2 linked regions of the Neurospora crassa OR74A genome follow. Each later gene encodes a partner of the first gene's protein in a complex. Links are inferred from orthologs where the notes say so. Each region holds a gene or a part of one and is shown on either strand. Other genes may lie near its edges. The genes, in order: cox-6 and NCU05816.

Region 1 (3,993 bases):
GGACGACGGTCAACCGTAGAGGTGCTGGCAACACGACGGATACGGCGGCAAGTAGTCGGGGTAATAGTCCTGCGCCGGGCAATGCTAGTGATGGAAACGGGAATGGTGGAGGAAATGGGGGCATAAACTTTAACCCCCGGTGGGGGCACCTCCGTGATTAGGGCAAGACGAATAGGAGTTAGAACCGAACCTGGGGGTCGGAGAGCGAGATCGTTGGGTGCTTGAGAGAAGGAAAGAATGGCTCGGCTGTCGGTCGATGACTGCAGCTGTTTTCCTGGTTCGTGACCAAGGACCGAGACAAAGACAACGATTAAGATGGCTTCAGGTCAGCTTTCCTTATGTCCCTGTCAACGGTGGAATGGTTGGTGAAACGATTGTTTGCTTATTGCTTGTTACCTATTGGTCTTTTTCTTCTTCTTCTTTCTCTCCAGCCGGTAGGAATATCTTTTCACAATACCCATCTCCCTATCTTACATCTTACGGTTCATTAGATCGATTGTTTTCATTTTCTTTTGTATGGTTCAAGGTACTCAGGTTGCATTTGAGGATCGAGGGATGCACATGAAAGAGGTTGAGGCACTCGGCGCATTGGGGTTACCTTTTTCTAGATACTTACTCTACCTGCTATGGATAAAGGCAATAGAATCCAGGTAGAACCAGGCATGACAATCGTGAATCTGGTCAATCTCTTATGACGAATGGTAACCAGCATCCAGCTTTTGTAAAATCTATGGTAAACTCATTACTGCCTTTCGAATACATCTATTTTGCTGCTCTCTACGATCATGGCATGGGATATTCATCGTCCAAACACAATCCGTGACACAACCAACTGTTATCGTATCCAACTCGACAAACAGGTTGAACTCGTTCGATTCCTCTCTCTAAGGCCCTCTTGGATATACTACGCCCTTACTTCCTGCAATAGGAGTTCTCTAGGCAAAGAAACATGTATGGTACCAGGGAATTAGCGTTGAGTGCGCTCTCCTATTCATAGGTTCCAAGCACACACGCTACGCTTTCCCCTTCCACAAACTCCCCCTCCTCTCGCCACAATACTCTCATATCCCCTCTTTTCAAACTTCCAAAGATTCTGGGAGAATAATTGATGGGTCGTTGGAATGGTGATTCTCATGGCATCTTCTAAGTTACGTTGGTCCTAAATTTAGTTGGCCTCCTCGGGGTAGAGGTCCTCCTTGAGGGTGATGCCGAGCTCCTCACGAAGAGGCTTGAGCTCAGCGAGGTACTGCTCGTACTGGCCCTTGTTCTCAACCTTGGCCTTGATGCCTGTTATGACGGAAGCCCGTTGTCAGCATGGTTCTGGTTCCTAAAAGACCGTTTTGCTGTTCCCTATCCACCCGAGCTTATCGGACACCTTGGTATTGACGCATAGGCTGGTCGTCGATGGCTACGATGTGTGCGGGTTTCGGTGGCGGCAGTGATGGATGTTAGGACGGGGGCTCTTACCCTCGAAGACGCGGACAGCGGTGGGGAAGTCGTTGACGCGGCGGGCAGCCTTGAGAGCGGCGGCGAGAACGGAGGGGGAAGGGACGAGATCGTAAGCGAAAGCGTTGTTCAGGTTGCGCTAATTTCGGTATGCCAGCGTCAGTCTCACAGTCTCTTCCTTCCCTTGCCCCTACCCAACAAGTTGAATCATTGTTGTCCCTTGATCGATAATGCAAAAGGTGCGTCGTCGAGTAGGCCGTGAGAGTCGAAGTGGGACGGGAGCATGGAAGGTGGTGCATACCTGAAGCTCGAAAACATCCTGAACGGCATCAAACTCCTTCTCGTAGCTGTTGGAAAAGGCGCAAGTTAGGAATTGGGGAGTTCTCGAGGGCGCATGGAGGTGTTGATGGGGTGGCCCTGGCTGAGGCTGAGGGGAGGAGAGTCGGAGGCATCACGTCATAGTGAAGCCGAGCTAGGATAGGCAGGTAGCTAGCTCGGGCCTGGGACCTCCGGGGCTCGGAGAGGTAGCAGCTTCCCGGCCGGGCTGCCGGGGCAAAACTCACCGGGCAGTGAACTCCTCGAAGGTCTCCTCGTGGTGCTCGGAGCGGAAGCGGCTGGAGGTGCTGAAAAGGCTGACGCGGGCGGCGATGGGCTGGGGGCGGGCAACGGCGCGGAAGAGGCCGGCGGAGGGACCGCGGACGGCAGTGCGGAAGAAGGAGGCCATTGTGACGGAAGGACGGAGGGGGCTACTAGAAGATGAGAATTGAGAGCACACGGTAAGAAGCTGGAACTGCGAAGCGAGAAGACCGGGGGGGAAGAAAAGGCAAGGCGGTAATTGGCGGCGGAGACGGAGAAGCACGCACGTTACGTAGAGGGAGGTACGGTAGCTGAGATGATGGTCTCAATTAATGCTAACGAGGTTGAGGTTCGATGGTGTGCGACGTAAATGCTTGTTCAACCCAAGTGGAAGTCTCCGGTATTGCACTGCATCGGACCATTCGAATACTTCGGCTATGTCTTTTCCGGTTAGCTGACTAGCTGTGTTTTTTCCGCCCTCGAGGTACTTCTGGACAAGCCACTCGGTGGTCAGTGCACAAGCTCCCTAAGCTCACCTTTCCAATTCGTACATGAGCTTGGTATGCAATTGAACAGACAACAGCCCACTTTTCCGCACCAGTAGTGGCTGAAGTGGCTGAAACATTTCTTTAACTTCATAATGAGGCTGATGTCGAAGCAACAGAACGTGGGGTACCTATAACGCCTTCCTGCAGCGAGCCGGATAAATCGACTGTGTGCTCAGATGAATCCGCTGTGTGGAGCCCATACAAACTGACAGCCAAGACCCAAAGCTTGGCATCTCTCGCGCCAAACTTTCGCGATCGCAAGTCATCACCAAAATATCATTGTCTCGACAACGACAACGAAAGCTCAAAACGACTTTTTCTAAAGCGTTGAACTCTCATTTATATGCGGGGGCCTCTCACCGGCCCCCTGCACCCCCGGAACTAACCCTAACACCTAACCCTAACCACTAACCCTAACACTAACCTTGGGGGTAGCCCGCGAATTGCTATACAGTCGATTTATCCATCCAACACAGTCGATTTATCCGATCCGTCCTGCAGCGATGATGCAACCAGTGCGTGTTGCTCATGTCGGTCTTTCACACAATGAAGTGGTGTCTGTTGTTGCGGACATTCACTTCAACTCATCATCGTGTTGACCTTGATATCCCTCACTTTTTTTCTTAGACAATTCCCAGGATTGGGAACATTTGAACCGGCAAGCGCTGGAGATTTACGGATCAACCTATTTATCATCGGAAGAAATTGACTGCCAACCGAATGTTTTGACCGGCACATGGTCTCGTCATCTCAGGATTCACGGCTTGTACACTCGTGTATTTGTGGGTGGATGAATGATGGGCTGATCGAAAGCCAGTATGTAGTTCGGAGAGAGTAGAAAACGCGTCTTGTAGTATTGGTGGGTTGGGGTTGTTGAACAGGCGAGAGCCGCGAAACCTCAAAAAAATGGACTCGATTGAATCATTGAACAAACCGAATTTGTATACCCGCTGGTCAATGTCTTACCGTAGCACTGGGCCACCCCAGGTTGTGAGCTCAATCGCTGGAGGGCAAGCCATTCACCTTCTCTTATACGCACCGTTGGTTCGGGCTCGCCTGGGTGTTTGAACGTCCTCGTATCAATTTCCACGATATCTCTTCCTGATAACCAAGTTGTGAACGTCCTGCACTAGCTACTTCCCCAAACCTCGGCATGGACTCTACACTACTCGTTTGATCAAGAGTTAGCCCGTTGCGGCCCGACAGTTGACGCTCTGCATGATGAACGAGGTATCCGATGTAGGGGGTTGTAGCTATTTGGTGGACCTTGAACGGCCTAGAAGACTGCCCCCAAGTCTCGAGTCAATCATCGATCTCATCCGTGTTTCAACGGGCATGTTGATTTTTGGTAGGACCGACCCTTTTCGATGGAGCCCGCGTTGAGTCGCACCGGAACACTCACGAGATACGATTGATGAACCCC
Region 2 (3,513 bases), on another chromosome or scaffold:
GCGCCCCAACGACCGAAGCGACAGCAGCCCTCTGCATCGCGGATTCGCGGGTTTCTCTTCCTCAAGAACTGTTTTCCGAGTCGCGTCGCATCGTCCAAACCTCAAGTAGTACCCCTCCTTCCACGACACCACAGACAAACAGACAAAATGACGCCGCCGTGTCAAAGCTTCAAAGCAAAGGCTTTGCCCACCCACATACAAGTCGGCCCCGATCAGCGTGTTCGCAAGACGGAAGACGGTGGTCGACGACGAATCGATCTACTTCGGGATTGCGAGCTCTTTGGTCTGTTGCAGTATGACTGCCAGGTGCGCGACCCGGAGTTGAGGGAGAGCCAGATTGAGTGTTGGCCAGTGCAGCGCTTGTTTCGCAGGTATGTCTTTTTTAGGAAGGGGAAATTCCCTTTGTCGCATTTTTAGAAGAAAAGGGGAAAAAGAAAAAGGGAAAAGGAAACGTTGACATTGACATTGACGTGGGGAACCAAACCATCTAGATGCCGGGACAAAAATGGGCCTTTTACGGTCGAGACAACGGCTTGGGAGGGCACCGCGGCTGCGGCTGCGGCAGCAACGACATCATCATCGTCATCGTTAGCAGCAGCAGCAGCAGCAGCCAAAGCGACATCGGCCAGCAACAAAAGCTCATTGGCCGAGCAGGAGCAGCACCAGCAGATCGATCATCGCACATGGGGCAGAGAGGACGACAAGGAGGATAGATGGTGGAACAGAAAGTGATGTTTTTATTCTGATACCCATCTTTTTACAATTTCTTGGTCTTGTGTCCAACGAGGAGGATCCCGTTCTTAATCTCTAGTTGCTTTGCATTGCATCGTCCCGTCGTGTCCCGTCTATGAAATACCCGGCCACCATCTGGCCTTTATAAATGGTCTATCACAAGGCAGAAGAGAAAGTAAGGAATACGTATCGGTCGGGCTGACTCGATTGCCGATGTTTGTCTATCCGTCTTCATCTGTAGATATACAACATGCAAGTCTTCCTTCTTCCTTCTTCTTCTTCCCCCTCCTCAGGTATCGCTCCAAGTATTGCGTTACTTCTTCATCTCCGCGATCGATCGAGGTCGTCTCCGTTCTTCATCATCGGTCGCCCAGTCCGTAGATCGATTTAGGCGCCCATGCGGGCAGCACGCTCCTCCTCGAGCTTCTTGTAGTAGTTGTCACGAGCGTTGGTGCGGGGCATGTGGTAGCCGTACCTGCGGGTGATGGAAGGGGTTAGTCATCGCGGAGTCAAGGCACGGGAGATTTGTTTGCGAGTTCGTCTTCGGTTCGGGTCGCGTGCAAACTAAAGTCAAGGATTCATCGAGGATATGTCGTACCAGTAGCCGTTGGCCATAACGAAGCCGACACCTGAAAGAGTAAGAAAACAAAGGGTCAGCTGATCGGGAACTTGTGATAAAGAAAGGTAAAGAACAACGAAGGAGGTGGCTTCCGGGAAGTCGGTATGGCGGGGTGACAGCACGAGAGACCGTGGGCAATCCTAGGTAACTGGCGCGCGTAGCCAATTCACGGCCCACCGGCCGGCCGAAGCTCGACCTAGCTCTTGCTCTGTCTTCCACATCGCCGTGTCCCGCCTCCCGTCTTCGCCTTATTTCAGAGACCACCTCTTTTATCATTCAGAAATTCCAAACTCACCGAGGGCAATGCCAATGTCGAGGATGAGGCCCCGGCGGAGCATCTGTAAACCCAACAGTCAGCCCCTAGTCCTCCTGTATTCCAGTCCAGCTTGTCCCGAGCGCTGGTGGCATTGCGCAATTCCGTCATCCATCGTCGCGAACAGCCATTGAATCGTCCTCTTTGCGCAGGCTTCGGAAATCACGTACACCGGTGATGGGTCTGACAGCGGTGGCGGCCATTTTGACGAAGAGGGCTGGTTTCGGTTGAGTGGTTGCGAAAAAAAAGGGCGGATCGTAGCGAAGGGTGCGCGGTTTGACGGCTTGGAACTCTCTTCTCTCAAAATGGAGCTTCAAGATTGTCCCGAATGGATGACCTGAGGTTTCGCTGCACGGGAGCTGCAAGCTTCATATCACGTGATGACGCAGCTGCTGAACGGAAGCTTGCGAGCGCCGGCAACTGCGGGTTTTCGGCAAATCTTGGATCACGGACCGTTCCCTTCATACTTGGTGTGATGGGTAAGTTTAATTAAGTGGGGTAGGTACTAAACGCATAGTGTCCGTGCAAAAAAGTACCTGACAGGGGGGTTTTTACTTTCGCTCGCGACCACAGTATGTGGTGGGCTTACGTAAGGCTGGGGAGCGGCAGCACTGCGTTGAACTTATCGATAAGGTGGCAGCCTTTCCAGTCGCGATGACGTCCATCGTTTCTCAACTTTATGGCAAGATGCACATTATTGTGCATGTCTTTCCAATACTACACGCTCTCTCCAGGTCTCAGAACCGTTGGATTATAAGGTTCAACCACAAAGCATCCTTCAAAATTGGTGTCCCTGCGCATCCTTACCTTCCGAGTCCGCTATGGATGATATTCCGACTGTGTACACGCCTGCTCATTTTGAGAGTTGGAGGTCGCTAGTATGGCCAACCATGAACGGGAAATGTATTCCGAAATAGTATCACCATGTGTCGGTGTTCATATCCAGGTTCTTCCAGCTTTCAAAGTCCATTTTCTTTCATCTGGTGTAGAGGCTGAACTCCTGAGACACCTGTACTCTTAAAGTTGCAACTGGCGGTGTTGCTCAGAAACAGATTTTTGTTGTCGATTGGATCGAAGGGATTCGAACCAGAGATCGAGGTGGTCAAACGAAGCGGACACCTACATGTACAGTTTGTTCGTAATCAAGACCGATAGATGAAATTTTTGGCGGACTGCGAGACACCTCAAAGCTGTATCGTCGTCAGGACTGTGGCGGCTTCGTAGTTGTTGTTTGGAGTCACCTGGTGAAACAGTCGTTGTAGACGTTGTCAGTCAAATTTGCAAATTCTCTTTGGTGATATTGTCTCGGGCAGGTGCTTCGAGACTCAAGTGACAGAATGTGAAGGATAGCAGAGCCTGAGAACTCGTAATCCGTCCCCGTCAGCTCGAGTATTTATCGTATTGTGTAGAATCAGGTTGGTTATTTCCCAAGCTCGCCGTTTTCTTCATGGTTATACTGATTATCAGTCCGATGCGTGGCCAGTCCGCCTGATGTTGTGGAGGTGCTTGCAAGACTTATATAAAGAGGACTGCAGGGTGGTATGTACCGTGGCACTTGGTTGTGGTCAGTGCATCACCCCGCAACGCAGTTTCCGGGTCTCTGATTTCTTGCAAGTTCATCCATTTCTTCGTCCTCTCAGAATTTAAAAATGACAACGACTCACAGAACCCATCGTTTTCCATGAGACCCAACGTCGAGCACCGATTTGATCTACGAGGGCATTGATCAAGATGGGGCAAACTGCTTCTCCTGTTTCTTTCTGTAACAGTTAATGTCTTGCCAGGTGCAAGCAGCCCCGTCAGCCACCAAAAGGAGCAAACACGTCAATGCACTCAATCAGGGCTCCGG

What was found.
Region 2: the proteins of cox-6 (region 1) and NCU05816 are in contact, whole or in part, in a cryo-EM structure (PDB 7Z10), measured with the Saccharomyces cerevisiae proteins. The link is inferred for Neurospora crassa OR74A from reciprocal best matches to the Saccharomyces cerevisiae genes COX6 and COX9. Residues at the interface, in NP_011918.1 of Saccharomyces cerevisiae: Phe49, Asp80, Leu81, Val82, Pro85, Glu116, Gln120, Ala123, Tyr124, Glu127; in NP_010216.1 of Saccharomyces cerevisiae: Thr2, Ile3, Pro5, Ile6, Thr7, Gly8, Thr9, Ile10, Lys11.

The regions. Positions count from the first base shown.
Region 1 is NC_026505.1:4,304,006-4,307,998, reverse strand, and holds cox-6 (cytochrome c oxidase polypeptide VI, variant), read right to left. Parts: upstream 2,447-3,993; 5' UTR 2,310-2,446; exon of another isoform or gene 2,196-2,309; 5' UTR 2,171-2,195; coding exon 2,010-2,170; intron 1,794-2,009; coding exon 1,748-1,793; intron 1,586-1,747; coding exon 1,468-1,585; intron 1,288-1,467; coding exon 1,166-1,287; 3' UTR 722-1,165; downstream 1-721. Other genes in the region: NCU06696 (hypothetical protein), read left to right, coding at 1-161. UniProt on the Saccharomyces cerevisiae protein: Component of the cytochrome c oxidase, the last enzyme in the mitochondrial electron transport chain which drives oxidative phosphorylation.
Region 2 is NC_026507.1:3,922,534-3,926,046, reverse strand, and holds NCU05816 (hypothetical protein), read right to left. Parts: upstream 2,109-3,513; 5' UTR 1,868-2,108; coding exon 1,835-1,867; intron 1,690-1,834; coding exon 1,647-1,689; intron 1,362-1,646; coding exon 1,331-1,361; intron 1,208-1,330; coding exon 1,120-1,207; 3' UTR 751-1,119; downstream 1-750. Other genes in the region: NCU05817 (hypothetical protein), read right to left, coding at 1-37; NCU17277 (hypothetical protein), read left to right, coding at 148-371, 492-732. UniProt on the Saccharomyces cerevisiae protein: Component of the cytochrome c oxidase, the last enzyme in the mitochondrial electron transport chain which drives oxidative phosphorylation.